Linked DNA regions of Diceros bicornis minor. Each later gene encodes a partner of the first gene's protein in a complex. Links are inferred from orthologs where the notes say so. Each region holds a gene or a part of one and is shown on either strand. Other genes may lie near its edges.

The links.
Region 2: the proteins of CALCRL (region 1) and RAMP2 are in contact, whole or in part, in a crystal structure (PDB 3AQF), measured with the Homo sapiens proteins. The link is inferred for Diceros bicornis minor from reciprocal best matches to the Homo sapiens genes CALCRL and RAMP2. Residues at the interface, in NP_001258680.1 of Homo sapiens: Arg38, Asn39, Ile41, Met42, Thr43, Gln45, Tyr46, Glu47, Tyr49, Gln50, Lys51, Ile52, Met53, Gln54, Trp69, Asp70, Gly71, Arg119; in NP_005845.2 of Homo sapiens: Trp86, Ile89, Tyr93, Ser94, Arg97, Leu109, Gly110, Pro112, Glu117, Ile120, Phe121, His124, Gln125, Phe128, Ala129, Cys131, Ser132, Leu133, Val134.
Region 3: the proteins of CALCRL (region 1) and ADM2 are in contact, whole or in part, in a cryo-EM structure (PDB 6UVA), measured with the Homo sapiens proteins. The link is inferred for Diceros bicornis minor from reciprocal best matches to the Homo sapiens genes CALCRL and ADM2. Residues at the interface, in NP_001258680.1 of Homo sapiens: Val36, Thr37, Lys40, Asp70, Gly71, Trp72, Asp90, Tyr91, Phe92, Gln93, Asp94, Phe95, Asp96, Pro97, Ser98, His114, Ala116, Ser117, Thr120, Trp121, Thr122, Tyr124, Thr125, Asn128, Thr131, Lys134, Val135, Ala138, Leu139, Leu141; in NP_001240774.1 of Homo sapiens: Leu106, Arg107, Val108, Gly109, Cys110, Val111, Leu112, Gly113, Thr114, Cys115, Gln116, Val117, Gln118, Asn119, Leu120, Ser121, His122, Arg123, Leu124, Trp125, Gln126, Leu127, Met128, Gly129, Pro130, Ala131, Gly132, Arg133, Gln134, Asp135.
Region 4: the proteins of CALCRL (region 1) and RAMP1 are in contact, whole or in part, in a cryo-EM structure (PDB 6E3Y), measured with the Homo sapiens proteins. The link is inferred for Diceros bicornis minor from reciprocal best matches to the Homo sapiens genes CALCRL and RAMP1. Residues at the interface, in NP_001258680.1 of Homo sapiens: Asn39, Met42, Thr43, Gln45, Tyr46, Glu47, Tyr49, Gln50, Lys51, Ile52, Met53, Gln54, Thr68, Trp69, Asp70, Gly71, Arg113, Arg119, Thr120, Phe228, Leu231, Ile235, Thr239, Val243, Ala244, Gln250, Trp254, Tyr255, Leu258, Phe262; in NP_005846.1 of Homo sapiens: Trp59, Ile63, Tyr66, Arg67, Ala70, Phe83, Trp84, Pro85, Asp90, Phe93, Leu94, His97, Gly98, Phe101, Arg102, Cys104, Pro105, Ile106, Ser107, Gly108, Arg109, Ala110, Val111, Arg112, Asp113, Pro114, Ile118, Leu119, Phe122, Ile123.

The regions. Positions count from the first base shown.
Region 1 is NC_080749.1:66,686,155-66,693,814, forward strand, and holds the start of CALCRL (calcitonin gene-related peptide type 1 receptor), read right to left. Parts: upstream 3,008-7,660; 5' UTR 2,813-3,007; intron 1-2,812. UniProt on the Homo sapiens protein: G protein-coupled receptor which specificity is determined by its interaction with receptor-activity-modifying proteins (RAMPs). Together with RAMP1, form the receptor complex for calcitonin-gene-related peptides CALCA/CGRP1 and CALCB/CGRP2.
Region 2 is NC_080757.1:41,784,074-41,791,390, forward strand, and holds RAMP2 (receptor activity-modifying protein 2), read left to right. Parts: upstream 1-4,566; 5' UTR 4,567-5,036; coding exon 5,037-5,136; intron 5,137-5,598; coding exon 5,599-5,664; intron 5,665-6,132; coding exon 6,133-6,241; intron 6,242-6,373; coding exon 6,374-6,629; 3' UTR 6,630-6,815; downstream 6,816-7,317. UniProt on the Homo sapiens protein: Accessory protein that interacts with and modulates the function of G-protein coupled receptors including calcitonin gene-related peptide type 1 receptor (CALCRL) and calcitonin receptor (CALCR). Required for the transport of CALCRL to the plasma membrane.
Region 3 is NC_080764.1:328,056-335,198, reverse strand, and holds ADM2 (protein ADM2), read left to right. Parts: upstream 1-4,690; 5' UTR 4,691-4,875; coding exon 4,876-4,967; intron 4,968-5,814; coding exon 5,815-6,133; 3' UTR 6,134-6,642; downstream 6,643-7,143. Other genes in the region: SBF1 (myotubularin-related protein 5), read right to left, coding at 1-7. UniProt on the Homo sapiens protein: Intermedin/ADM2 is a peptide hormone that plays a role as physiological regulator of gastrointestinal and cardiovascular bioactivities mediated by the CALCRL-RAMPs receptor complexes.
Region 4 is NC_080776.1:25,333,361-25,341,301, forward strand, and holds the start of RAMP1 (receptor activity-modifying protein 1), read left to right. Parts: upstream 1-4,928; 5' UTR 4,929-4,946; coding exon 4,947-5,071; intron 5,072-7,941. UniProt on the Homo sapiens protein: Accessory protein that interacts with and modulates the function of G-protein coupled receptors including calcitonin gene-related peptide type 1 receptor (CALCRL) and calcitonin receptor (CALCR). Required for the transport of CALCRL to the plasma membrane.

The DNA.
Region 1 (7,660 bases):
TACAGCTTATGTTTATGGTTTAAAACCTTCTCTGAATCCTAAACAAAGATAAGGAATAAAGCCAATGACTTCAAATAATGTTCTTTGAATATATTTGTTTTCTGAAAAGTTGACACCATAATCATGATATCTCTAAAAACAGAATTATTTTTTCAAGCACCATTCAAAGTCATACATAAGAGTATGAAATATTTTTTTAGTGAATGTATATTTTGATCCTTTAAAAATTATTTTGTTAATTTTTCTATAAAGGTCTCTCAGGTAATTCTTAAAAACTCAGTTACTATCAAATTTTAACCATGGAGATAAAAATTAAAAGCAAAATATTGTTATAATGGTTACAAAAATGATGTAAGTTAGAAATATATAATACTATTAACTAACGTCTGATTAGTTTTTGTGTGTTTATCAAAGAATTTTTCCATATTAACATAAAGCATATAAGGTAATCTTTTTTATCTTAATATTGTTTTGAAGGTGTTATTGAAATGAATTTTTTACACATCAAACAATACTATAATATATACTGGTGAATGTGAAGGTTCTCATCAGTATGCTAGGGTGTTCACTCCTTTGAAACCTCATTATATCCTAGGCGTCATTGGTGAGTCAAGTACATACACCTCGGACATTTATTTAACATAATTTTAAAAATTACAGACCCAATTCTAATTTCTTTTTATTTTTCTGTTATTCCAATTTTTTCAACCTGAATGAATAGTTGTATATATTCTAAAAATTTACATATTTTAACTAATAAAATAGTATTTTGGCATGTGCTAAGACATATTAGGAGAAAAAGACATTGTAGCAATAACCAAAAGCATATTTCTTAAAGATAACTGAATATTACAGGTAAAACATATTTCAGCTTACATTATTCATGAAATTTCTCAATTCTGTGTTTCATTTTACATGTTTAGAACTGGCTTTAGACTCTGTGCATTGATTTTATGATCCCATAGGGTAACAACATCTAGAAAAAAAATTCTAAGCATGCACTGATACTCTGATATTCTCTTATCATTAAAGAATACAAACTTTAGAATATAATATGAATTCTTATTTCAAACTTTCAAATATGACTTTGCCTAATCACCCTCAAAATTCATTGTCTAGTGTTTTTCAACAGTATTTTTTGAAAATAAAGATTATAAACCATACTATTAGTACAGTTATAAAAATTTAATTAAATTATGCAAGAAAATTTTGAGTTTTTGGCTAGCAATTAAATAAAACTTAGAGAAGTTTGGGGAGTTCCTTATTATAACGTATGATATTAATTTGATATTAACTTAATACCATACCTCCTTCTAAAAAATAATCTAAATTAAAAATCATGCTATTTTAATTTTTGTTACTAACCCATGGCATTGGGTTAGGCATTTAATGTGTTCTTTCCCTTTCCTCCTCTAAAAACACTTTTCCCATTTCTACACATGCATCAGGAAACTCAATACATTTAATGATTGAAAGGAGACTGGAAATCAGCTACAACATTTGTAAAGAATCACAAAAATAAGACTTAATTGAAATTTCCATTATTTGGAGAAATTTGTGGAAAAATTGAGTAGAAAATTATGAAGGAGTTACTCAGAATGAGTTTGTAGTCCACTGCTAATGTGCCAGATTATGGGTGATTAAGCACAGGATTTCTCCGTTGAAGGATATTTTGCAGATGATAATTTCATTTAGGTAAGAAAATACATATAAATTATGTCAATCAATATAATTCGAACTCAAATCTGACATCTAATTTTTCTCGGCAACTGATTTGTGATATCTCTATACCAACAACGTCTTAAAGAGACACTAGTTTCTTAAATTGCCCAGGACAGTCTGTACTGTTGAAAGAAGCGTTAACAGATGTTTCATCTCAACATTTCAGTAAATTTTATCCTGGAAATTCTTTTTTTTTTAAAAAATACCCACTTTAATTTCTCTGTTTAATAATCTGATATACTTATTTGGGAAAATTTTGTTGTTTTTCTTTATCCACAGTTATCTCAATATCACACCCTCCTTCCAAAAGTGTGCAGAGGCATACCAGACAAATTGAAGTAACACATTCTATTAGCTGAAGAGTTTTGAAGTTGGAGTTAATATAGAAATCTCAACATTTTCTCAACCCTAGCTGTTTTTTTCCCTTTGTAGCCCACCCCATGATCCAATACAGCAGAAACAGTTCAGGGTTAGCAAGAGAGAGACTTAAACACATCTGGCAACAACGAACAATGAAAATTCCATTAGTTCAATAGTAAGAGATATATGTGTAAATAGAGGCAAAATGCAAATAGAAGACAAATGTAATAAATCCTAAGTGTTTACTTTTCTTTTAATTCTCCATTGTGTTCAACTACAGAGCCAGTGAGACTCTGAGACCCCATAAATAGTTATTCTTTCATCCCTTTCACAGAGTACTGATTATATGGAAAGTTTAAAAACCCTTCCTAGGGGAAAAAAATGTTTTCCAGCTGTCAAAATTCAATCCTAGCTAATAGTAGCTAATTTTAAAAGGCATTGCTCCTTGATTTTGTTTTTATTTATTCAGAAGCATGCTTTTAATCCATTTAGATTTTTATTACTCGCTAAATTTATTTTCTAGAATATCACTGTACATAATATTATCTCATAGTAACAGATTTTGTATACATCTTGGGGTAATACACTCTAGTTTCTTTAACATGTGAAACAAATGAAAATACGTTTCAACATCATTTCAACGTCATCAATTAAATTCTATAGTAGAAACGTCAAACTACATGAGAATACTACTCAGAATAAATATATTTATTTTGAGTAATGTACTTACCCAGCACAGCTCCTAAGGAAATTCTTGGTGCAATATTCTTAGGATGGAATCTGATTTTCTGAGATTCCGCAGGAGAGATTTACCCCCAGGCAAGGTGGGGAAGAGTGAGAGCCTTGCGAGGTATCCTGCAGGCAGGGTGAGGTCCAGTTAGCAGAGCTTGATGATCCTAAAGCAGGAGTGACACTCTGCTGGAGAGAGAGGGTTGTTCTGAGTAGATTGGAAGTGTTGTCACATTGTATGTGCTCAGCAGCAGAAGGGAAACATCAGAGCTTCCTGTTACATCACTCTGACCCCGCCTGCAGTTAGTGTTAGGTTACTTTCTTTCTCAAATAGCATACCCCAGGAAAGCAGCACTCCTTTCTTATTCCGAGACAAGAGCAAGAAGCAGCCTGAACAGACAGAGATCATAAGCTGTATGAATACATTGTTAGCAGCAAAAGCTGGCTGGATTTCACCTTGACTGAGTTCTGTTAGAACTTGCCAAACAGAGCTGCCTGTGATTTAAAGGAAATCTGAATATAATATTCTGCTCAGAGAGTTAAAGGAGTTAAGGGAGTGTGTGTGTGCGTGCATGTGTGTGTATTGAATTATACTTTACAAAGCATCGAGGAAATTTTTTATCTAACGTGTCTATCTTCATAAATGCATACAGAAAAATAATAACTGCATCCATCATTATTAATTCTATGATCCAACTCTTATTTTGGGGGGGCTCTGATAATCAGAGCTGTTCCTTGATCTGTTTTCCACAGTTAAATGACGAAACTTTATCCTGTAGGTTTTTAAACTTTTTTTACTCTGTTCATTACATAAGTATGTGTATATGTGTCATAAACAAAACCTTTGTGTGTGTGTGTGTTGTGTGTATACATATACATATATGTAGAATTATTTTTCATTATCTATAAGTATACGTATTAGAGAAAATAACCTTTTGCGAATATATTCATAAATTTAAAATAATTGCACATATTTTTAAATATTTGACTTAATTATGCTATCACCTATGAAATAAGAAAGTAATTTATACTACAACATTTATATCTCAAAGTAGCCTTAACAAAAATGCAGGTAATTTATAAACATAATATTATGAAACAATGTAAAATATGTAACATACTTTAATATTTTAGAAAAAGTTTTGTCTCAAAACACAATTTTATTCTAAATGTGTTTAATGAATCATTGGAGATTATCTGGGAAGAAAGTTTTAAATTTGAAATGCGCTTGTCTTTTGATAGGAACGTAAATGTGTGAGATACAGCAATAATTATAATTGCTGAAACCTAAATAGCACTGAAAGTCACTTAATTTATCTGGGTATCAATTTTCTCATCTGTAAACCAGAAGAGATGGATCAAATAACATCTAAAATCTCTCCTATCTCTAAGACTTTACATCAAGAAATTACGTAACATTTAGAAATAGATAAGATATTGTGATGATTATTCAATTCTTAGTGAATCTGAGATCAGAGGCGCTGAGAAACTGGTAGTTATTGCAATTCAGGAACAAAAGGAGATCCTCAGTCTTTGTAGACTAACAGAGGAAGACAAGGCAACATAAATTAAAGGGATATCATGTTTCTGAAGCAGTATGCTCCTGTTGACATTTTTATTACCTGGATCCATGGAAGAAACTTATTGCACAATCTTTGATATTAAGATCAATAGGATCAAGGTCAATAAAAATACATACATTTAAAAAATAAGGTACTTACCAATCTCTATCAGTTGTCGTTAAAAGACTTGTAAGAAACTGTGTTATACCTATTTGGTTATCAGGAGATAGAAAATAACCAGAGGAGTTAAATTGCCAGGTTATAGAATATTGTATTTCCAGTTGTGGCTTGGTTTTGTTTTGCTTTGGGAGGCGGCTGAGATGTACTTCATTTTGAGCTATTTCCTTCAGCCCATGAGAAGAAAAGTCGATGTTGCAGAGTATGGCTGGCTCCACAAACAGTGGTTCTTTAATCAGATATTCCCAGGTGAAAGCTATATTGAATTCTGCTGTGGAGGAAGCACACTGCCCAGGGAACCACTAAGAAAGAAGTAGAAAGCACTGGGATTGGACCAAGAGACGTGAAATTCAAGTCCTGGTTCTGCTACTTTCTAGTGTGACCTCTGGCAAAACTTTTTATGTCTTGGTGTGTTCATTTTAAAATTTAGAGCAGAATCAAATACTAGATTTTAATATCTGCATGATCACTATGTCTTCTCATCGCCTATGTTTGGTGTAATATCTAACTCCTAGAAAGAGATCACTCTACAGCTTTGAATTTGTTATGAAAAACTAAAACTTTTCCCAATAAGTTTGCAAAAGCATTAATGTTTTTTTCCCAAAGATTCATTGATTTCATTTACAGTAGTAAAGTCTAGTGAATGAAAACGTCTATGCTTTGAACTTATGTCATAAGACTCTTAAATCAGTGCTCTTTCTCCTCTACTATACGTCAAGTGCTATACTAAATGGGAAGGCTACTAGAGGTTATAGTGTTTATATTTAAATTATTGGTCAGGCACATGGTTATAGTCCATGAAGACTCTTGGATAATTTTTATCAGTATCATCTATAAGCCTTATTTAGAAATAACAAGCAAACCACGTCCCACTAATCAGATCCTTAAGAGTTGCCATTTCATAAACTCCAGGTGAAATAAATGGCTTGAAGACTTCCAGGAAGCCACTTTGGGTACAGAAGGACAAGTGAAAAGATGGATAATGCAAACTTCTCAAGTACACACTGAAGCATGACGACAAGTATTTGGAAAAATGCAGCAGAACAAAATGAAAATATTTCAGTAATCACTGAAGTGATTCTTAGCCAGTGTGGCATTAATCAATACATTAATTCAGCATTACGTATTTCATATATATATATATATATATATATAAATCTTTTCCCAGAACAGATTAACGACACTGGTTAATCGTTTAATAAGTAGGGATCGAGCCTATATTCTGAGATGGATACTGTGCTAGTTGTATTGGAGAGTTATGGAAAAATAGGATGTGTCCTGCTATCTAGTTGTTTACAGCACAGATTGACTAGCACATGAGGAATCAAGTGCCAAATTCTCTGCAATTAGCAACTAATCCTGCCAACACAGAATCTAGATGTAACCATGCAGAACACTGTCGATAAGATTTACTACAGAACTGAGGAATGATGTATAAATGAAGAATGACAGATATAATGATAAATAGTCATACTTGTCTATTTCAGAATCCTACACACAGGATTGTGCCCACATTTGTTGTCCCATGTAAGGCTCACAAGCACTGTAGTCCCCTAGTAACGAGTACCGATTACCATGGGAAATGCACTTTGACTCACACTCAGGAGGAGACTAACTCAAAATCTCTGGATTACTGTTTATATTATTCGACTAAGTTAATCAAATTAGACAAAAAATGTGGTTTGACCAGTTTAGTTCTCTACAGGCTGGACTGACCACTCATTTTGAATTCATGTGGCTACTGCCTTGGAGCACAGTTCTGCCACAAAAACAAACAAAACACTTTTACATGAAACATTACGGGCAGATGGTCCCTGGTGAGAGTGCAAGGAAGAACTTTAAAAATGATTTCTACAAAGTTTTTCGGGTGTTGTGTTGTGAGTTAATAATTCCTCTGTGTCTCAATTGTCTGAAAGTCATCACTTACACTCGGAGATAATTTATGCAGTCAACAAGATTATGTATATCATGCTTTATTAAAAATGCACCAATAATTTGAGGAGAAACATAATTTTTGTAATCTTGACATCAAAAAATTCTAGTAATGAAATAAGTTGACCCGAACTTTTATTATTTTACCTAGCAATTGCTTAGCATATTCAAATTATTTCATTTCTAAATGAATTGCATTTAGTAAAAGGACCAGGATCCAATGGCTGGACCACTGTGAGTGAGTATGCTATTTTCTATTATTAAAATCAAAGGGCTGATTTTTCACTCTGTGTGCACAATTTATCATCTTGAGGGAAATCATAATGTTTGTCATAATGTAAAAGAATTTTAAAATATTTGCAATGCATATGAATTTGAAAAGAGCAGAAAACTTTAAATTTGAAATGAGTAACATTACATCAGGTCCATGTATAGATAAACAGAACTATTTTACTAGCCTATAAATATTATTTCTTTTAGTATTTTATAATGTGTTTCCCCAAGAGAGTCAAGCAACATATCAAAAACAATTGGCTAAAAATCTGCCTACTATTTTTGTTGATTCTTATTAAGTTCTGATGGACTGGATCTTCCAAGGAACTCAACATTTTCTTACGGATATTCACGAGTGTTTGAGCGTCTCCTCCCCAAAAGGGGTAACTGTTCCTAGAATAAAGAGCTAGTTCTAGCAAATGCCATAGATGATGGACTAATTAAAAATGAATTTTTTAATACAGCAAGATTGTAAATGCTCACTTAAATGAGGGTACAAAATGAACTTCTTCAAGGTTAACACCCTTAATTAGGGTGATCATATGGCCAAGCTTGCTAGGACAGTCCCAGTTTTATATTTCCACACTGGAAAGTGTCCTAGTTTAGATGAAAAATTATATACAGTCATCCTAGCCATACTTATCCATACTGCATTGACAAGTGGACATAAATACTGAGAGTGAGTGAATAATTCATTTGGGAAATTGGAATCTTCTTTCCCACAGAGTTTAAAGTAATTCTTTCTACTTTTAGGATAGTGTTAGCTGGCATCGAAAAAGATGCTCTTTTCATCTCTGGATATGTATTTATTGTGAATTTATTTTGATATGTTTTTTATTTGCTAAATATCAATCTTCATTTTTAAAATAAAGAGTTTATTTTACTTTGTGTTTATACGTGTTGAC
Region 2 (7,317 bases), on another chromosome or scaffold:
GGTGCTGAGGGACCAGCAGTGTTCTCAGTACTGCTGGGTGTGTGCTGTGGTCACTTGGCCACAGTCCTCTTCAGTCACGCTGTCTGAACGTCGTTCTTATAAATCTGGCCTGGGTCCTTTTCAGAAAAACAGCCTCCACCACGTGATGTCATGGTCCAGCCTGGGTCAGGGAAGGAGGTGGGAGGAGGTTGTGTGCATGTAGTTGGGTGAAGCAGGATCTTCTTATTTCTGGAGGGGTCAATCTGGTCCTGCAAGAAACACTCTATCCTTCTCTCCAAATTTCAAGACCCAGCAAGGAATCAATATCCTGATGTGAAGTGAGAGGGAGGTGATAAATCATAATGGTTAAGACATGAAGCTTCGGGCCGGCCCCGTGGCTTAGCGGTTAAGTGTGCGCTCCAATACTGGTGGCCCGGGTTCGGATCCCGGGCGCGCACCGACGCACTGCTTCTCCGGCCATGCTGAGGCCGCGTTCCACATACAGCAACTAGAAGGATGTGCAACTATGACATACAACTATCTACTGGGGCTTTAGGGGGGGGAAAAAAAGGAGGAGGATTGGCAATAGATGTTAGCTCAGAGCCGGTCTTCCTCAGCAAAAAGAGCAGGATTAGCATGGATGTTAGCTCAGGGCTGATCTTCCTCACACACACAAAAAAATAAATAAATAAATAAATAAAAAAAATAAGACATGAAGCTTAGGGGTTGGCCGAGGGGTTGGCCGCGTGGCGTAGCGGTTAAGTGTGCACGCTCCGCTACTGGCGGCCTGAGTTCAGATCCCGGGCACGCACCGATGCACTGCTTGTCAGGCCATTCTGTGGCGGCGTCCCACATAAAGTGGAGGAAGATGGGCATGGATGTTAGCTCAGGGCCAGTCTTCCTCAGCAAAAAGAGGAGGATGAATGTTAGCTTGGGGCTGATCTTCTGCACAAAAAAAAAAAAAAAGAAGAAGAAGAAGACATGAAGCTTACTATCAAGCAGTCCTGGGTTCAAATTCTCACTCCCAATTACTACCTCTGGGACCTTAGGCAAATCACTCCTATTTCCCCATTTCACCCATGGACAAGACAATTCTGATGTTATGGTAAGGTTTTAAGAAATGCATGAAAAGCACTCCACATATGTGTCGGGGAACACACTATGCAGCACATAACAACTTTTCAATAAGTGGTAGCTACTACTAAGTTCATAGCAATTGAAGAGGAATCTGGCTTGACCATTTTCTCTGCCTTTTGCTAACTTGAGAGCCAAAGTTTTCTCCAATGACCATTCTTCCCTCTGAGAGGTGGTCGTGCTCCTCATACCAAGTGTGCCATCATTCTGGAGATGAGGAGGCTAGGGAGAGATGAAGGAGTTGTGTCCTTACCCCTTAGTCTTCCCTCCCTTAGCCAGCTGGTTTCCTGGTTGCAGCTCTTCTGATTCTCCCTGCTGCCTCCCTCTGAAGAAGTCTGTCTCCTCTGTCCAGCTTGCAAGCATCAGCCCCTCCCAGCCAGGACTTCTGGCTTCCCTGACCCTGACTCTCCCCCACGGCCTCTCCTGTGCTCTGCTCTTTATTTTGCAGACAGCTGGGGAGAGGCCAGCATGAGTGAATGTCTCTACACCCGTAGAGATGCTAATTCCAGGATGCTCTGCATGTAATTTTATTGTGTAGGAGGCCCCCAGGGCTTTTTACTTCCCCCTAGGTTTCTCTGGATTTATATGTGTGTGTAGGGGAAAGTCTGAGGATTAGAAACGGCACTCCTTGTAAGGATCGAGTCACCTCTCCCCCTGCTCCAAGTAGGATGGCCCTTGGCCCATAATAAGGAGGGAAATTTACATGGCCATAAGACCCCTACCCAGGAGAAGTCAGTTCTAGGTTGGGGCCAGAAATCTCAAGTCAATGTCTAGCTGGACCAGCACCAGATCCTCTCTTCCCAAGCACTAGAGGTGGGAGTGGGGTAGGGAAAGAGGAATAAGGGAGTGTGTAGGGAACTTAAAGATTAAACTCCACTGGATATAAGAAAAAAAGACTAAAGACAATATTATACTACAGTTAAAAGGAAAGAGGCGCATCTAAACACAGTACCATGGGAAGATACCCAAGACGTATTATTAAGTAAAAAAAAGAAATCACTGAACAACAGGAATATTAAATCCCATTTATGGTTTTATTTTTTTAAGTCCAAAATATGTGGCGAGGTGAGTGAGAAAGGAATGGGAGTATAAAGTTTTCTGCATTTAAATATTTTGCAACAAGTATATACTTATGTATTACTTGCAATTAAAAAGTATATTTTTATAGCAAAAAGAATATATTTTAAAGAAGAAGTCGGCTTAGAAAGGGAAAGTAGGGGTCTCAGGGGTGGAAAATGAGAGTTCCCACAAAACAACCAGCCTCTGTCCCTAATGAAGCCCTTCTCTGTCACCTTGCTGCACAACATGGGACTATCTCCTATGGCAACAAGATGAGGTCTCTAGTCTCCATTCAGCCCCAAGAGACCACCATAGCAGACCCCCAGTTACCAGGATGCCCCGAGGGATCAATGAAATAGCCAAACATCCAACTGGTAAGGAAAAGTGGGAAGAGGAAAGTCAGGAGGAGAGAAAATGCCCAGATTCTCCTCCAATGAGAGAGTTTGGACTCCCAAGTTCAGGAATGACTACAACAAGCTCTCCTTTGGAGGTCTCCACATCATGATGCAAGCTTAACCACAACTCTAGGCTAAAAATAACACTTTCTATCAAGTCATCTATATTTTCCCGTTTGATTCTTTTTTTTTTTTTTTGTAAGGAAGATCAACCTTGAGCTAACACCCATGCTACTCCTCCTCTTTTTTCTGAGGAAGACCAGCTCTGAGCTAACATCCACTGCCAATCCTCCTCCTTTTTTTCCCCAAAGCCCCAGGAGATAGTTGTATGTCATAGTTGCACATCCTTCTAGATGCTGTATGTGGGACGCCACCTCAGCATGGCCGGAGAAGTGGTGCGTCGGTGCGTGCTCGGGATCCGAACCGCGCACTTAACCGCTAAGCCACGGGGCCAGCCCTTCCCTTTTGATTCTAAGGTCATTTTATACATGAAAATGTTGAGCTCCAAAGACGTGAAATGGCCTGCCCCAGGTTACACAGCAAGACAGAGGCAGAACCTGCCTTCAGAATCCTAACCAATGTTTGTTTTTACCAATGATGTCATACTGTCCTATTTAAAACCCAACATTTGCTTTTGTCACCTTTGATCTTGACCCCACCCCCAGTTCTTCTAACCCACAGTGGGCTCAGGTTCTTCTGGACCCAGCCTAGTGGAAATGGCTGGTTTTGCTTTCTGCCCCTCCTTGCTTCCTTCTCCCATCTTATCACCCAGAAATCTCCCTCTTGACCATGTTTCCTTCTTGGAAAGGGCAATCACAGGTAGGAGGGAAGGAATGAATTTTGTCCCTGGCCTGAAGTGGCTCTGAGGCTGCCTGACTCTTTTCTGCACATTGCAGAAGACAACCCTCACCAGGAGGGCTTTGGGGTTAATGCCAAGTGAGCCATCTCTCTTCTCTCTCTGGGTGCCTTGCTAAAGCAACCTCTTGCCCCTAGCTATGGAGGAGGACAACAGGTTATCAGTCACCATGATGAGAGCCTAAGACCCTGAGACAAAGATTTGAAGAGAGACCATTAAAGATAATTTGTGATGGGCAGGAATTAGTAAACTGGGACAACAGCAGCAGCTGAGTCCAAGGGTCAGTGTCTGGGAGTAATTTAGGAAAGTTTGGTGCTGACAGCTGTGCCTAGAGTTGAACGTCAAGCCAAACCATCTCCTGGGCTCCTCGGCTGCTTCAGTCTAACGAAGCTCTGGCTCAGGACACAGAGACAGCAGTGGTGTGGCAGAAGTGGGGCCCCAGCTCAGGCTTGCTGCTTCCCAGCAGTGTGACCTCAGGCAAGTCCTTAGGAAAGGAGGAAAGGAAACTAGCATCTGCCAAGTGAGTGCAGTGCCCTTTCATGTACATCATCCTCACTACAGTTTAGTGAGGAGGGTAATGTTCCTATTTTACACAGGAGGAAACTGAGAATAAGGTAACTGAAGTCATTCCAGGCTATATAGTTGTGGAGTGGGAAGGCAGAATTAGGACTCAGAGTTTCTGAACTCAAGCTCTGGGCTCTTTCCCTTGAGCTTTGACTTCTTTCTCTGGAGAATGGGCCTAATAATGTACCCACCCCATGAATTAAGTCACACATTGTAGGTTCTAACTCCCTCCTTTCTCACAACCTCTCGGTCCTGAAGAGTGTGGCCACCTTCTTCCTGGGAATGGAGTAATCTTACTTTTGTCCCTCCCTTCGATCCGGTTAGTGGGTCTGTTCCCCAGGAGGTGCCTCGAAGGGAGGGTATTTCGACTTTGATTTCTTCCCTATCCCTTCCCCAGGTCTTCCCCCGATTCTGGAGGGCCGGCTCCCTCTTCTCCGCCTCCCCGGTTTCGGCAGGCGGGGTGACATCAGTGGGTGTTCCCAGGGAAAGGGAACTCGGAGCTCAGCTCCAGGCGCCCCCTCCCCCACGGCCCAGGACAGCCCCAACCCCCAGTCTTAGATACTGCGGCGTTGAGAGGCCCTCTGAGCTCCCAGCCCCCTCCCTCTTCTCCAGGTCCCCTAGAGCAGCCTGCTACCCACTTCCCCACCTCCCACCTCGCGGCGAAAGAGAAGGGGAGACTACAGTCCAGGGAGCGGATGCTCCAAGACCCTGGCGAGTCCTGGGCGCCACGAGGCCGAGCCCAGGAAATGGATCCCGGTTCTGGGGTTACTAAGGGAGCTGTCCAGCCCCGTAGGGTGAGCTAGAAGAAAGGGTGGGCCAACGCCGACGCCGACCCGGCGGACGGAGCGGCGGGCGCCAGGACCGGGTGGGGCAGCGACTCCCCCTCCAGCTCGCCGGCCCCGGGCGTCGCCCCCGCCCCCCACGTGGCCGCAGCCGTCCCAGCCCCTGCGAGGAAACCGCGCGCTTCCTGCGGCTCCGGCCGGGGATATAGGCGCCCCCGCCCGGGCCCGGCTCCGCGCCGCCGCCCCTCCTCGCCTGCTCGCCGCGCGATGGCCTCGCTACGGGCGGAGCGCACCGCCGGCGGCCCGCGGCTGCCTGCGACCCGCGCCGGGCGACCGGCAGCGCTCCGCCTCCTCCTCCTGCTGGGCGGTGAGTGCAGCGCCCTGGGGCCCAGGCGGGAGGCGCGGGAGGCCCTGGAGGGGCGGGGGGCTGGACGGCCGAGGCCGAAATGGGCCCCGGGGTGCGAGTGCAGACGGCTCTGTCCTTCGGACGGTCGTTGGCCCCACAGCAGTGAGGGCGCAGCGCAAGCTGCTTCCCACTTGGGGAAAGCTGGGGTGCCGGGGCCCGCGGAGAGGTCTTGGGAGGTCTGGGGCTGGCGAGAAGGGAGGGGGTTTGGGGTCGGGATGAGAGTGAGAAGGAGCCTATACCAGTTCCTCTCTTCCCTGCACTGAGGCATCCCGTGGGGGCCTGGATTATTCCTCTTTCTCTATCTAGCCCTGACTTCCAAAGATCTCAGCCTCCAACCCACTGCCCCCACCCTCCCACCCCGCGTCCACGCTCCATTGTCCAGATCCCCGCCATCCCACCTCCCTCTCCCATTTCTGCCCACAGCTGTCCTGAAGCCCCAGGAGTCCATGGCTCAGCTTTGTCCCACCAGGGGCAGCTTGGAGTCGGAAGGTGAGTACCCAGCAGCTGTGGGAGGGTGGCCTAGGGCAAGAAGGAGAGCCAGGTCGGTGGGGAGGTCCCTTTCCCACAAGGCAGGCCCCAACCTCAACTGGCACCCCACTAAACCCCCCTCTGTTCTCTCTTGGGGTTCCTTGTGCTCTTTCTCCCTCTCCTCCCACAAAGCCTCCTCCCAGCTCTGGGCTGGCCCACCTCACAGGTGGGTTAGAAGACCCCAGGAAAAGTGTACATGGAAGCTCTTGTCAGGCTGGGAAGAGCTGTGCACATGGAAGGCATTAAAATTTTCCTGAGCTAGGACTCTCTCCTCAGCCATAAGTGTCTTGCTCGGGAAACTTTCTGAGGCTCTCCTCCTAGTTCCCATGTTTGAAGACAGGGACAGTGGTTCCTCAGTGGAAATACCTGGACCAGAGGGCCTGGAGGGAGGGGCGGGGTGTGGCCAATGTGCAGCATCTGTGTCCACAGGGAAAATGGTGGAGAACTATGAGACAAATGTCAAACTTTGCTGGCAGCGTTATAAGATTTATATGGACACTATCGAAAAAGATTGGTGTGACTGGGCCATGATTAGCAGGTAAGAGCAGTGCTGGAGGTGGTTTGGGCCAGCGACGGGGCCTGCTCCTTGTGGGTGTATGTTGAGTGAGTGTGGGTCACCCCTTTCTCTGGACCCAACCTCTCCCTCACTCTAGTCCTCTCCTGCCCCCAGGCCTTATAGCGCCCTGCAACATTGCTTGGAGCAGACTGCAGAAGAGTTTGGCCTGGGCTTCCCCAATCCTTGGGCAGAACAGATCATCTTTGAGACTCATCAGATCCACTTTGCCAACTGCTCCCTAGTGCAGCCCACGTTCTCAGACCCCCCAGAGGATCTGCTCCTGGCCATGATTATAGCCCCCATTTGCCTCATCCCCTTCCTTGTCACCCTTGTGGTGTGGAGAAGTAAAGACAGTGAAGCCCAGGCCTAGGGTGGCATGAACTTCTCAGCAGCCATCTTACTCCTTTCCCCTGCCACCACCAGGTCTCTCTCCTCCCCTCCCTACCTCTTTCTCTCACTCCCACCCCCACCACAGAGCCTTGGATTGGTGGAAATGGAAGCCGGGAGGGGTCATGGCACAAATTCTGTAATCTTCAAAATAAAGCACTTTTTTGTATACTGTCTCCTCCCCATCCCACTGGGGACTGTGTCCTTCCCAGAGTCTCTGCCATTCCCACAGGCCCTCAGCTCTGGGCAGCAGAGCTGGAAGAATCTGGATAGCCCCACTGTTTTGTTCACTAATCTGCACCCCCCCCCAGACTGCCCTCCCCCAAGGCCACACCCCTACACTCTTTCCTCCCAAGGAGGGGGGGCTTTCCTGCTCCTATCCAAACCTAGCTCCAGGAAACATGCAGGAAGAGACTCCCTTCCGGTCTGGACAGCAGCTAGGGAGGTGTGGGGGGAGGAGCAAGGGAGGAACCTCTTGCTGTGACTCCTGCAAGAAGGAAGGGGGCCACCCAGAAGCCCTGAATTTTCCTCTTCTTCACGGCTTAGTTTACTCTCAGGGCCTGGGAATAGGAACCCTGATCTGACCAATAGGAGTCCATCCCTGAGGACCTCAAGATTGAGGGCAAAAGGCAGTGGGGGCTTCCTCTACTAGGTTCACCACAGGACTCCCT
Region 3 (7,143 bases), on another chromosome or scaffold:
GCGCCATGGCGAGGGGCGCGGGCGGGCTTCGCGGCTCGGCGACGCGAGGGTGGGGCGCTCATGGCCCGACCCTGGCCCCGGCCCGCGCACCCCGGACACCCCGGGCCCGCTCCTCCGCCGTGGCCAGGGCTCCCGCCGCCATCTTCCCAGCCAGCCGGCCCGCCCGGCCGCGCCGTGCGCCTGCGCGGCACCGCCCCACCCTCCCCGTGGGCGGGGCCCGGGACGGCCCGCACCCATTGGTCCAGCGGCCCGGGCTCGCTTCCCGGGGGCGGGGCCCCGCCCATCTCCTCCCGCTCCGGGCCGGGGCGCCGCCCCCAGGGAGGTGACAGCGACGGCGGCCCGGACGGGTCAGCGACAGGCACGGCCGCGGTCGGAGCTGGCCTCGAGCTCGGGGCTCCCACGCGCGGGCGCAGAGCGGTCGGGGCGGGGCCCTGGGCTCTCCCCTAGCGCTGTCAGTCTGGAGGAAGGCAAGAGGGCCCGGCCCTGCCCTCGGGTCTCCAAACTCAGGGCTGCCAGCTTGGCGATGGGGGACTACCCAGGCCCTGCCCTTGGGGTTCCCAGCACGCTTGGAAGCCCCATCTAGGTGGGTGACACATTCAACACATGTCCATGAAAAAAGGCGCGCTGCATGTCCCGCTGTAAAGAGCCCTGGTGCGCTGCTTGGGAGAAGGCAGGATCCCTGACAATGCCCACCCTCAAGGACAGCGCCGGCCAGGGCCTCCCCTGCAGTGGCACAGGGATGGGCAAAGGGGACACAGAGCCTGAGACAGAACACCTAGGAGAGGAGCTTGGGAGGTGGAGGAGCCTCAGGTTGCCCCACTGACATGCTGGGAGGGAGGGTGGCAGGGTTGGGTTTGTGTTTAGAGTTTGGCTGCTGCAAGAACCGACGAAGAAACAAACTGCTGACAGCCATGTTCCGTCCCCTTGCAGGAGCCAGCCCAAGAGAATGAATGAAACTGAACCCAGAGACAAAAGCTGAGGGAGAGACCTTGCCAGGCTCCCCTCCCTGCCCCCGGGGGCAGGCCTAGCCACAGCCTCCTCTGCTTCTATTGGCTGCTGGGTACACAGGCTGAGAAACCTTCCTTTTTGCCCCTGGTGTCCTGGGTTGGTTTCTATCACTTACACCCGAAAGGTCCTCCCCGCCGCATTACCACACCATTGAGCTTGAGCATGGGCCGGCAGTGTCCCTGGCCAGTCCTCTGGCCTGGCACCTGAGCCCAGGACTGGCTCTCCCCCAGAAACTGTGGGGACCCTGCACCCCACCTCCCCCACCCTCATGCCCTAAGGATCCCATTCCTTGCAGCTCTCTGGAAGTGCCTTAGGGTCAAGGGGAGGTTTGGGATCCCTTCTAGACCATGATAGCCCCCACTCGAGTTTCTTGCCATTGAGTTCCCTGCCCACTACACTGCCCAGGTCACCCTCCGAGGTGCTCACACCTACCTGCTTCCTCCCCTTCTGGGGACTGTGCCACTCCCAGTGCCTCCTCTCCTCCCAGCAGTGAATGACTCTCCTGGGTCCCCTGGCCTCTTGGCTTCCTCCTTCTGTCCTTTTACCCCCACCCATCGTGGCTCCCATCGCCTGTCATCCAGCCCATGTCGTCGGCCCCCACCTCTCTGGCTTTGTTTTCAGTGTTCTCATCAGGCAAACCGAGATGGAAGCTCCCCTCACCACCCAGCCTGCTGACGTCTGGTCAGCTCTCCTCCCGTCTGCAGTATCCTCTAACCTCTGACCCCACCTCCTGTGTCTCAGAGATGACCCCACAGCTTCACAGAGAAAACAGAAGCCATCCAATGGAAGGCCTCGTGTTGCACCACCAAACTCCAAGCCCACCTCCCTCACACTCTACCTCCTCCCTCCACAATTACCATCGAGGCTCCGCCCCGCCCGACCTCCTCCCCACCTCTTGCTGTTTCCTATCAACACCCCCATCCTCACTCTTTCCCTATTGAGGGACCCTTGCCATCAGGATTAAACTCAACCTCTCCGGGCTGGCCTCATGGCTTAGAGGTTAAGTGCATGCGCTCCGCTACTGGTGGCCTGGGGTTCAGATCCCAGGCGCGCACCGACGCACCCCTTCTCCGGCCATGCTGAGGCAGGGTCTCACATACAGCAACTAGAAGGATGTGCAACTATGACACACAACTATCTACTGGGGCTTTGGGGAAAAAAAGGAGGAGGATTGGCAATAGATGTTAGCTCAGAGCCAGTCTTCCTCAGCAAAAAGAGGAGGATTAGCATGGATGTTAGCTCAGGGCTGATCTTTCTCACACACACAAAAAAAGAAAACTCAACTACTCCCACCTTAAAACACTCAAGCAAAACCTCCCTGGATGCTGTTTGCCCCACCAGTTGACACCTAGCTTTTCTTGCCCCACAAGGATTTCTCTAAAGCATTCCTCCAACATCACCAGCACCGCCTGCCTCCTGTGGCCTGGTCCCTCTCACCAGCCAACCTCTGGTCTATTTCTTGTGAGCCGTTCCCGGCAGCCAGCCCATCACCACCTAGAAGCAGCTTCTCCAACTGAAGATACATGAAGGAAATCCTTGAGTTTCCCCTTGAAGGGTACATGGACAGTTACAGACAAGCGCCACGAGAGGTGCTGTTCAGGGGCCTGTGGGACCACAGAGGGGGCCCCTAATCCAGTCAGGAGGGGCAGGGGCAAAATAAGCAGCCAGGCTTAAGCCTGAGGACCAGAGGACATCCCGCCCACGGGCAACCAGGGAGGTGGGACCACAGGCCCACGGTGGCAGCAAGTGTTCCGAAAGAAAGAATGTAGTGAGCCACGGGCCTCGAACCTCCCTGAGGCTCCCTGAGGCTCACCTCCACGTGTCCCGGATTAAAAACCTCATGGACACAGGGAATTTTGATTTATTTTTCCTTTATTGGTGGCGTGAGTAACATGATCACATTTGTGTTTTGGAACGTGGCACTGGCAGCAGTGTGGAAGACAGATTGAGGGGAGGTGTAGGGAGGCTGGAGAGAGGAGAAGCAGCTGCAGAATCGGTCCTGCCTCTGTGTCCTCTGCGCACCCCCTGCCCTACTTGTTCCTTCAGACCTGGCATGTGGGTTCTTTCCTCTCTCTGCACTCTGTGGGCGGTGCTCACCTCACCTCTCGCCTCCCAGAGCCTTGCCATCTCTGAAACTCCCAAAACTGTGTTCCAAGTCTGCCATCTCTTCAGCCGCAGGCCCACGAGGCTGGAACCTGGCCAGACACCTCTGCCAGGATGTCCCCCAGGCAGCCAACCCCTCCTGGCTCTCTCCAGCAGCTCCTTGCATCAGCAAACAGAAGGGCTGACCCTGCTCTGCCTCCCTACCCAGCTCAGTTTCCCTCTGAGCCGTCCACTCTGTCCCCATGGCACGCCTCCTGCCAGCCCCGCAGCATCCCCTCCCTCCTGAACCCCACTTTTCTGATATAAATGTGGTCACGTCACTCTCCCTCCTCCCCCCACTGGTAAAAATAAATAAACAAACAGAAACAGGAGTATCTGCCAATGCTTCCCCACCTTCCTCAGGATGTAAACCAAGCTCTTGAGTATGGCATGCTTTCAACACTTGTTGATTTATTCATCCAGCAAATGTTTATTGAGCTCCCATGGCGTGTGCGACAGGAGAGTGGCCAGGTCACCCGGGATGACCTGACAGAGGGAGCAAGACTGGGCAGGGTTAGGCAGAAGAGGAAATACAAATGGACACAGAGATGCCCAGATGATCCAGGAAATGTCCACTAAGTGGGGCGACAGGATAACTGTCCCCTCTCAGATTGACAAAGAAGCAAGGAACTACTGACACGAAGTCTGTCATCCGCTGACAGTGGATTGGTGCAAGCTTTGTGGAGAACAATTTGACACTACCTGTTGACACAAACACAGGCTCACCCTCAACCAGAATTTCCACTTCTGGGAAAGTATCCTGTAGAGAGACATCTGCGAGCTCACAGCAGACGGGTTCTTACTCTTGGAAGGCTGGAAATCGCCTAATTGCTCATTAATAAAGGATCAATTAAGTCAGTCACAAAACACTTACATACTGGAGTCAGCCAAGCATAAGAAAGAATGGAGGGCTCTATGATTACGTAGATTCTTACCTATATAAGCATATATGTGTTTATGTAATACATGCAGTACACACACAGGACGCCCCTCGCGTGTCTCCAGCGTACACGGGAGACAGGAACGCGGCGCCCGCGCAGATCTGGGAGAGGCAATGCGGGGTCTCACTTTTTACTTATTTAAATTTCTTACAAAAACCATTTATACTCCGATAATGGGAGAAAAAAGGTAGAGATGCTTAGGAATACAGCTGCTAGGGGATCTTGAGGAGGGGTCTCGAGATCGCCTCGTGAGGAACCCTCCCCAGAAGAGATACTGGCCAGGGCCCCGGGCCGACATTTGCGGGTCAGAGAGGTGGCAGGCGGGACCGCCCGGCTGCTACAGCCCCCAGCACCCACCCCCTCACCCGGACAGGTTGGGGCCCCCAGGACGCGGGACACTGAACCTCAGCGGAGCGCCGTGCAGCCGGCCGGGCTGCAGTCCACCCGCGGCAGGGCTGGGTTGGGGGCCGGGGAGGGCGCCCCGCCCAGCCGCGCGTCGGCCCCGCCTCCTCAGGAGGGACTATTTAGCTCGGTGGAGCCGAGGCTCCATCCCCAGTTGGACCCCGACAGCGATCTGACCGCGGAGGCCTCGCCCTCGCCCGCCTGGCCCACAGTCCGCAGACTCTCGCCCGCTTCTCGCCCGCGCCCCGCACCCCGAAGGACGCAGGTACAACCTGCGCGCGGCGCCCACCGCGGAGGGCTCCCCAAGGTGAGGGCAGAAAGGTGGCTTGGGCTAGGGCCGCCCCACACCTGCCGGCTCACGCCCCCTCCAGCCCCGCCCGCCATGGCCCGGCTCCTGACCGTCACCCTCGGTTGCATCAGCCTCCTCTACCTGCAGCTCCCGGGCACGCTGTCCCGGCGGCCCGCCAGACCGAGGTGAGTGGGGCTCAGACCAGCCTGACCCCTGGCCTGCAAGGCAGAAGACCAGAATGCCCAGGGAGGTCCCCTCTGCCCGCAGCCCTCCCCAGGCCCCCCACCCCCGGGCCTCCCGCCTGCTGCTAGTGCTTACCTCCGAAATCAAAGACCAGCCTCCGTGCCTTCAGCAACCTCTGAGCAGGGCAAGAGGCCCCTCTTTCTTTTCCTCTTTTCCTGGGGCACCCGCTTCCCCCACTGTTAGAGCAGACCCCTCAACAGGAGAGATCAGCTAGGAGAGAGGGGGCTGGAGGGGTCACCTCCCCCACCGAAAGGGAAGGGCTGATGGGGCCTCTCTCTGGTCCTGAGCAGAGTGACCCATAGAGGCCAGGGGTGTCCTTTACCCAGGGAGTTGCAGGTGAATGGACATGTGACCTGGTCTACTGAGATGGCTGAGGGCTAGGACCCAAGCCCTGACCCCAAGAGGGAGGTGGGCTTCCCTTGGCAGTGCTCCAGGCTGGGTGTATGTGTGTGTGTGAGGGGAGTGGTAGAGGGGCTGTGGGCTTCCCCTGATCTGCTGGGTACTGGTGTGGGGGCTGTGGGCTTCCCCTGATCTGCTGGGTACTGGTGTGGGGGCTGTGGGCTTCCCCTGGTCTGCTGGGTAGTGGTGTGGGGGCTGTGGGCTTCCCCTGGTCTGCTGCGAACTGGTGAGGGGGCTGTGGGCTTCCCCTGGCAGTGCTCCAGGCTGTTGGGGGAGCCATGGGCTTCCCCTGGCAATGACCCTAGGCCTGTGTGGAGGGGAAAGTGAGTGGGTTTGGGGGTCCCCCCAAGGTTGGGCCATCTGGTTTACTTCCTTCATCTCCCTCTGCAGGGAGCCCCCAGCCCGGAACCCTTCCAGTGGCCTGCAGCCCTGGCACCCTGCACCCCAGCCTGCGGTCTGGAAGCTACGCCAGGCCTTCCAGCCACAGAGGAGTGCCAGCCTGGCCTCCGCTATGGGTCAGCCTCTCCGGGATGGCCCCCGCCGACACTTGGGCCCCCGCAGGCCCCAAGCCCAGCTCCTGCGGGTAGGCTGTGTGCTGGGCACCTGCCAAGTACAGAACCTTAGCCATCGCCTATGGCAGCTGGTCGGGTCGGCCGGCCCACGGGACTCAGCCCCCGTGGACCCCAGCAGCCCCCACAGCTATGGCTGAGGAGGGGCAGGCCATACCCCTGCCTGTCCCAGCAGGGATGCTGCACCCCAAGCCCAGAGCTGCAGCTAAGCCCCCAGCCCCAGCCCAGCCCCCTGGAGCTCCTGAAGATGACAGTGACTGGAACAGTGGTGCAGGCCCCTGAGGGGACCCCCACCCCACCCCACGTCCTGCGGCAGCTGACCTCAAATGGCTTTGGACGTGTAAACCCATGCACACACGTAGACCCAGGCAGATCCGTGGACAGAGTCTGTACACCAGGGGTCTGCACACCCTGGGAGTGTGCACACTCAGGGGACAGGTGCCAAGCAGAGGTGGCCAGAAGCATCAGATACTGAAAACGGCTTCAGAGGGGAGAGGTCTGCCCGAGGATGTGAAGCAGAAGCCAGGGTGCTGACCGCCCAGGACCACTTCTGGCCCAGCAGGAGAGAGGGGCCAAGTTGGCCCAGCATGGCCCCTTCCCTGCTGGTCCTGACATCATCGGATTAAAGCCCGGCTTTGGGTGTGCATGATTTGCCTGCTGCAGGTCCCCAGCCTCTGCCTCTCCTGTACCCTTGGGACTGGGAGGGCAGCAGGGAGGAGGAACCTACTGTAGCCCCTGGGCTAGGATGAGGGAGGACGGGCCGTGCTGGGAACTGTGCTACCCTAGCTGCTAACCCTGGAGCCTGGGCCCAAGGTTGCAGTGGAGACTCCTGCCTGGATCCCTGTGAGCAGCTGGGGAGGGGGCATAGGGGTTCAGGAGCCAGGGGCCCGTCTGGGGCAGGGCAGGGCAGAGCAGAATGCCCCTTCCCATCCCCCAGAGCAGGGTGGGGCTGGGGTGGGGGCAAGATCTCCCAGCCCAAAGATGTCAATTAAGTCAGAACCACCACCACCTCAGGGGTTGGGGATGGCCAAACAAGAGGGAAGCCTCCATAGGCAACAGGGTCCCTGACCCCCACCCTGCGTAGCATGAGGACTCAATGGGACCAGGCATAGGGACAACAGGAGGCTGGAGCAGGCTTGCCCCGAGAGCA
Region 4 (7,941 bases), on another chromosome or scaffold:
TCCAGTTCATGGCACCGCAGGGGGGCTCTATTTTTAACCCCCAGCCCTGTCCTTCCCAGGGCTGCCCCTCCTCTGGCTCCCCTCACACCCACCACCCCAGCCGCCCCCACTGCAGCTCCGGGAGGACCATGTGGGGTCTGCGCTTCTCTCTCTCAAACAAGAAAGCAGCCGCAGCAGGCTGGGCTCTTCATGCCAGACATGCAGGCACAGAGCAAGGGCGGCATAAAAGGAGACCCTGAGGTTCACACTCTGGGCCCTCATCTCTCCAGACCCTCATCTCGTTAGAAAACCCAAATACCAAGGGCCTCAAGGCAGCTGCCCTGCGGCCCTAGTGGCAGAGCACAGGGGACCCGTGGGGAGCCCTGCTGCCCTGTCTGGTCCGGGTCTCTTTGCCTGAGGGCTCCTTTCTGCCTTTGTGTGGCCACCATGTATGCTCATGTCGGGGGTGTCTTCCTGCTGTGGAGAGAGGGGAGCCGGTTCCCCCCAAAGGAACATGGAATTCCTAAGTGATGCACCGCGCCAGGGACGGTTCCTGTCCCAGCACGCCGAGGAAGGAGTGCCGTCTGCTCGCAGCCTCCGCATGCAGCCTTTGAAAGACACAAGCTGTGAATGATTACATTTGCAGTCACGCGGAAATGGAACCCATGTGGCCCCAAACAGCTGGTGTTAAAATTTGGGGCAATTTCATTCAGTTTTTGAAACTGTAATGTTGCCTCTGTTTCCAGTGAAAGAAACCACATCAGGCTCGTTTAAGGAAAATGTCAGTGTTGTTCTCCTGTACCTGAAAAAGGAAGCTGGTTTCCAGATCCACCCGAACAGCTTGCCGGGCCTCGTCCCAGTTGTAGGAACTGGCAGAGAGAACGGCCGTGGCTCTGGGCTCTCCCAGGGCAGGAAAGAATGGACAGGGGGTCGGTGGGACTGGCCACCACAGGTCTCACCCTTGGGAGGCAGAGGGTGGTTCAGAGAGAGGTGAGAGATGCAGCCCAGAGCCAGGCCAGGGTCAAGGCCAGGGGGTAGGCCCTGCAGCCAGCCCAGGGCAGGAGTTGCACAGACAGTGGGAGCTAGAGCCAGCCTTGTTCCAGCGTGATCTCTGAGGCTACAGGACATGGTGGCCACTGAGGGCCCAAGGCAGCAGGGTGGGGGCAGGCGGCTGTCTTCCATAGCCCAGAGGACAGCAGGAGGTTGACCTGAATACACCAGGGAGGGACACCTTAATAGGAGGAATTATGGTCTGGGGCCTTCCCCCTCAGAGCTCATTCCAACCAGATGGAGGGCCTGGTGGCACTCCTTCTGGCCCCCCGCACCAGCACTTCCCCTCTTGGGGACCCCACCAGAGGAGGCAACATCTGGCTCTGCTGGACAGTTATGCAGCCCCCACTTCCCTGGCCCTCAGCGGACTTGGGAGCCACCCAGCGTCCTTGTAACAGGTTCCTGCAGTGCTTAGGTCAGCCCGGGTGGGTTTCTGTTGCGGGCAGCCAAGAGCCCTCGCTGAGGTGCACATGCGTCTTCGTTTGCCCTAAAACCAACCCTTCCAGAAGAGGAGGGGCCCCACCGTGCTTCCTGACCCTCTCTGGGACAGTCCAAGGCATTCTAGCTTCGTTCCCACACAGTATGTCCACTGATAAGGCTGGGGGGCGCCGTCTCGTTCGTTCGTTCATTCATTTGACAAATACTGATGCACAGAGGGCTGGGTGCCGGGGAGGATGTGCACATGAGTCAGAAAGGAGTGGGAGATGAGAGGGCAACCAAGACTGTTCCCAGAAAAGAAAGAAACCTCCTACCTGCCCTACCCAAGGCGCTGAGGAGGTGGGCGGGGGGCAGCTGGGGCCTCAGAGGAGGAGGAGGCGACAATGGAGGAGGACAGGCGCATTTGGGCGTGGGGTTTGCTGGGGGAAGGCATTCCCAATGGGGAGGCAGGACGGGTGCTGGAGCAGTGAGGGAGTGGGGACAAACGGAGGGACGACCCTCGAAATGAGGCTGGACGGGCAGCTTGGAATCCCTTGCGGGAGCCGGTATCTGAGCCTTCCTGAACTACCCGTGAGCCCCTGGCGCTTCACCTGTCTGGCAGGTGGGCTTTCTTAGGGGCGTCCTGATGGGGCAGGTGTCAGGAGTAGCCCATTCCCTGGGCCTGCCTGACAGTGGGCAGAAGAAGCCTCCAGGGTAGAGAGTCTCCCACAGCTGGTCCTACGGGTGCACTCACTGTGCCTGTGTGGACCCTGCAGGGGACACACCTGGGCTGTTGGGAAGTGGCATGAACCAAGGTGGGTGCGGAGGCTCCTGGGGGCAGGGACCAGATCTCACTCCCCAGCCTCCTGAGCACCCCCCTGAGGGCCAGAGGGATGTGCTCTGCCCTCCGAGCTCTCCCAGGGGCAGGTGTAGCCCAGAGATAAGGGACCAGCGGCCCCCCCATGGCCCCATACTCCAGTAGGGGGGCTCCTTCCCAGGGCGTCTGGGCAGGGACAGTCTTGCCTGCTCCTCTCCTCAGGAAGAGGACCCTTTCATCTCTGCCTGTCCCCCACCCACCATTACTCCCCAGCCTCTTGGGCTAAAAACCCCAGGAGTCCTTGCTGCCTCACCCGGCAGTAAGGTGCCCTGCCCTAGTGGACAGCCTTGCCTGCAGGGCACCATGCAGGGCAGTGGGCACAGGATGGCTGCAGCTCACCTGCAGTCAGGTCACAGTCCGAGGCTTTCTTCAAACTTCTGCTGCCAGGCCTCACCTCTGTTCATTGTGTGTCTTGTTTGTGTTTTTGTTTTTAATTGAACACAGAGGTGTGTTCCATTGCTATGAATGTCGCTTTCCTTGCTTTGGCCAATCTTGTCAAGATGTGTGCAGCCTGGAGCCTGTCACTTAAATCAGTCAAATGAACTTGTTAGCCCACCCGCGCCCATCTCACATTCTAGTGGAACCCACGGGTCTCGGAAACACAGGCCCTGGCAGAGGTGGGCAGTCTCACACCAGCTCCCTCTCCTGGGAACCATGGAGGGGCACAGGGAGAGTGTACCTGGGGGCGACTTCAGGGCCACACTGCCCATGTTCCTGGCTTGCTGCAGGTGGCCTTTGTGCCCGACCCACACTCCTGGCCCTCCATGGATGCCTGCAGGTCCCCAGTGTCTATCTGTCTTTCACTTTTGTTTAAGGCAGCCAGTCGGCTTGGTTACCTGTAACCAAGGCCACTCTTTACCTGTTCCCCTCCCAATGCGACATACCTCACTCTGTGAGCCAGTCGTCACCTCTGCGCTGTCCGGGGCTTCAGCTTCCCATCAGTACTCTGTTCTGGCAGAGCCAGGTCAGAGCCCTGGTGTGCAGTGTGTGGAATTCATCCATCCACCCACCCATCCACCACCCTAACCATCCACTCACCTACCCACCCATTCATCCATCCATCTACCCACCCATGCATCCATCCATCTACCTACCCATCCATCCATCTACCCACCCACCCATCCATCCATCCATCCACTCACTCACTCACCCATGCTTCCATACACCCACCCATCCACCACCCTAACCATCCACTCACCTACCCACCCATTCATCCATCCATCTACCCACCCATGCATCCATCCATCTACCTACCCATCCATCCATCTACCCACCCACCCATCCATCCATCCATCCACTCACTCACTCACCCATGCTTCCATACACCCACCCATCCATTGATCCATCTACCCACCCACCCATCCACCCACCCACATATCCAGTAATTAGTCATTGAGCCCCCTGGAGTTGCACTCTGGAATGGTGCTTCACGGCTCCTTGTCATCACCCTACTCTGTGACACCTCACCCCTCCCCTAGCCCTTCCTGACATGCCCCCTTGCTCAGGTGTGCCCTCTGCTGCACTTCCCAGCTTCCCACCTGGTCCTGAGCCTCACAGGACCGGGAGCTGGCTGGGTTCAGGGCCAAGGGAGGTGAGGCAGCTTCAGTCTAGCCTACATCTCTTCTGGTGCTGGGACCTCAGGCCCATTTCTGAGCCTCAAAGCCTCAGTTTCCCTATCTATAAGTTGATGATCATAATAGGTAGGACCCACCTCCAAGGTAGCCATGTGTGGTGAAGAGCCTCGGGCAGTGCCCGTACATCACAGGGACTGGAATACCAATTCCTCTGCATTTTACAGGAGACAGAGGCAGAGGGGGCAAGAGTTCTTGGCGCCAAGGGTGTGCCCACATGAGTGCACACCCCTCTCTAGGCTATGTTTCAGAGACAAAGACCCCAGAACCCCCCTCCCTATCTTCCTGCCCTGAGGGCGGCTGGCCTATCCCTGGGTGTCCATTTCACCCACTGCCCTGTGGTCTCCCCTGGCCTGAGGGCTGTAAGGGGCACTGGGTGTCCCCACGTGTCCATGACGCCCAACGAGGAGTCCAAGAATTCCCAGCACAGCCCTGGCTTCCCAGCTCCAGGCTCCTTCCAGGAATTTGGAAGGGCCCTGCTGGTAGGGGTGGGGCTGGGCAGAGGACCCAGCATAGCCTGGGGGGCAGTAGGTGGGCCAGCAGCCAGACTCTGAACAGAGAATGCAAAGGACCACACCCCCTGCACCCTACCCATAGAGAGGTGAAGAAAGTGGATGTTCAGCCTGAAGAAGAGGCGGCCTAGTGGGTAGGGGACCATGGGAGAAGCTTCCCTGCCTGCCCAGCCTCCACTAGAGCCAGTCGTGGGCTTGGGGGAAATGAGTGAATTTTGAGTGTGCAATGCATTGCTTGACCAATAATTTTTACCTCATATATTTATGAAGGTGGGAGGGTGGAACACATTCCATGTCACGGTTTGTCACCTGAGTTGATAACTGGTAAATATTCAGACACAGTGGATATGGGCCTTCACAAGGGCCCTGGGATGGGAGCCCCCAGCCCACAGGGAAGGCAGGGGAGGGTTGGGCGGGGGCCCCAGCAAGGGCGGAGGGTGACAGTCCCTGGGCGCTGTCATTGCAGTGCATCAGCTCTTCATGGCCATGGCCTGCCAGCACGCAGACTACGGCACCCTCCTCCAGGAGTTCTGCCTCGCCCGGTTCAAGGTGGACATGGAGGCCATCGGGAAGACGCTGTGGTGTGACTGGGGCAAGACCATCAAGTGAGTGTCCCCTGATGGGAGGGACGTGGCTGTGGGGGAGCCTTGGGGCCACAGGGCCTGGTGAGAGGATTCCATTGGAGGCCACGGTGAGGGGTTCTTCACTGCAGTCCGGGGTGACGGGATGTAGCCATGACAGGGGACAGACTGAGGACAAAGGGAGGTGCCGGTGACAGTTGGGTGTGGACAGTGAGGGGGTGGGAGGAGGCCATGTCCATGATGGCCTGGGGCCAAGGTGGACTCAGGGATCCATGAGGGGGCAGGAGAGAGAGGGTCCCATCTGGGCCGTGTCCAGTCTGAGATGCCTGTGGCCCATGGGCAGGTGTCTGGGGGACAAGGGAGGGCAGAGTCTGGTGCCCAGGGGCGGCTGAGCGGCCAAGTCTCTGTAACAGGAGCCCCAGCTTGCAACGATGTCCTGCTTGTTCCCTCGGTCCCTGTGGTCAGGCCAAGGCTATCCTTCCCACCCTGTTCCGGGCTCAGAGCTTCCTGGAACCATGGGGCAGGCTGTCACCGGAGGGGTGGCCCGAGGCTCCCCATGGACAACAGCTGGTGCTGAGCCCCTTCGCCTTTGTGACTCAGTCCTTCTGCCAAAATGCCCTTCTTCCCACCCCCCGGGGTTCACCAGCTGCCTCCCTCAGCCTCTCAGGCCCCAGGCACCCCGGGCTTCTGGAGCAGGGATCAGAACTTGGCATGTTTGCCATCGATGTTCTAGTCTGTGTTTCTGCTTCAGTGTGCAGGGCATGGGGGCATCCGGGAGCTCCAGTGGGCAAGTAAAGGAAACAAGAAATACCCCAAAACGCTGAGATCACAGGCTGGCGGCTGACCCTGCCATGCACACGGGATCCTCAGCGTGCGCGGTTACCACGGGCGCTATGATATCCTTCCTGCAAAGACCTGCGCCTCGGTTTACCACACACAGGAGCGGGGCACGGTGGTGCTGCTTGCTTCCCTCTCCTGGCGTCCACCCAGAGAGGGCACTTTCCTCCAGGGCCTGGGGCAGGAAAGAGGAAAGGCAGGGCGGGAAAGAGGAGAGGCAGGTCTCCTGATCCTCATCCGTTCTCTGCCGCTTCCAAGCCATCAGGGTCTCATTTTCTAGGCTGAGAAATTAATCATGAGTAAGAAATCGAGTGGGGACAGGTTGTTAAAAATCAGAACAGCCTGTTCTCTGGGCTCAAATCACTCAGCTGAGTGATTTGTGCTTAAATGAAAGATTTCATGTTATTACAATCCAGGGAAGACACAGTGGGGGTCCCTGGAGAAAAGCACTCTCTCCCATGCTCTGTGTAAGCCATCATGGACTTGTGTAGGTGGATTCCAAACTGGTGGCCTCGCAGAAGATGGCAGGGTAATGCCATGTGATGTTCTGAAAGAAGCAGTGGTAACACGTTACTAGGAATGGAAGCCACTGCAGCCGGTTTCCGACAGTGCCTAGAGTGCACACGGAAGTAACTACCACTCCTGCCACTGAGGGTTTGCCACAGTTTACCGTTGTCAGGGCCGCCTGGTGACACAGCTGGAAATAGAAGCAGGGGGCGGGGGGTGAGGTTGCTAGGAAATTTCTTTTATTTAAAAAGAAAATCGAGGGGCCAGCCCGGTGGCGACAGTGGTTAAGTGCTCGCACTCCGCTGCGGCAGCCCGGGGCTCACCGGTTCAGATCCCCGGCACACACCAACGCACCGCTTGTCAAGCCATGCTGTGGCAGCGTCCCATATAAAGTAGAGGAAGATGGGCACAGATGTTAGCCCCGGGCCAGTCTTCCTCAGCAAAAAGAGGAGGATTGGCAGATGTTAGCTCAGGGCCGATCTTCCTCATAAAAAAAAAAAAAAGAAAGAAAATCGAGATAATTGAGGGAGGAAGAAGCAAAAGTCCTCATCATAACAGCATCTCAGCAGGTCAGCTGGGCCTGCCAGCCCCGGGGTCTGTGGTCAGCAGAATCACGGCTCCTAGATACGGCCACATCCTGATCCTGGATCCTGGGAATATGTTACGTGGCATGGCAAAGGGGAAGTAAATTGCAGGTGGAACTAAAGTTGCTCAGGTGACCTTGAGATGAGGACATTATCCCGGATTATCAGAGTGAGTCCAACATAATCACAAGGGGCCTTAAATTGTCCCCGCTTTGGCCATTAGAACACCTTCCAGCTGGCTTTTGTGTCCTTTTGACCTGCCCCCATCCTTCTTTGAGCACTTCCTTACTTTCTGGTACCAGGAGATGTTCCGGGCTCATCTTGTACATTTTTGGCCCCAGCCCTGGAATCAGCCATTTCACCAAGGAGCCCTGGTTCCTTTTATTGAAGAATGGTATTTAGAAGCCAGGATATGTGTACAGTCATGCATTGCTTAAGGACGGGAACACGTTCTGAGAAATGCATCGGTAGGTGATTTTGTCGTTGTGTGAACATCATAGAGTGCACTTACACAAACCCAGATGGTGTGACCTGGGCTACGTGGTACTGATCTTATGGCACCACCATCGTACATGCGGTCCGTGGTGGACAGAAACATCATTATGCTGCACATGACTGTGTGTACACACACATGTATTTATACCAGGGATTTAGACATAACCAATGAGGCCATGCAAGCGCAGAAGAAAATGTGGGTGAATTCCTCTTTAGCTTTGGCGTCGGGAAGGGCTATGTCTAATGATACTTATTTTAAGGAATTGGCTCACATGATGGTGGGGTCTGGCAAGTCCAAAGTCTGTAGGGCAGGCCAGCAGGCTGGAAACTCCAGGGCGGAGCTGATGCTGCAGCCTTGAGGCAGGATTTCTGAACTTACCGTTAAGGCCTTTCTACTGACTGGATGAGGCCCCACCCACATTATCAAGGATCATCTCCTCTACTGAAAACCAAGGGAGCGTAGGTGGGAAC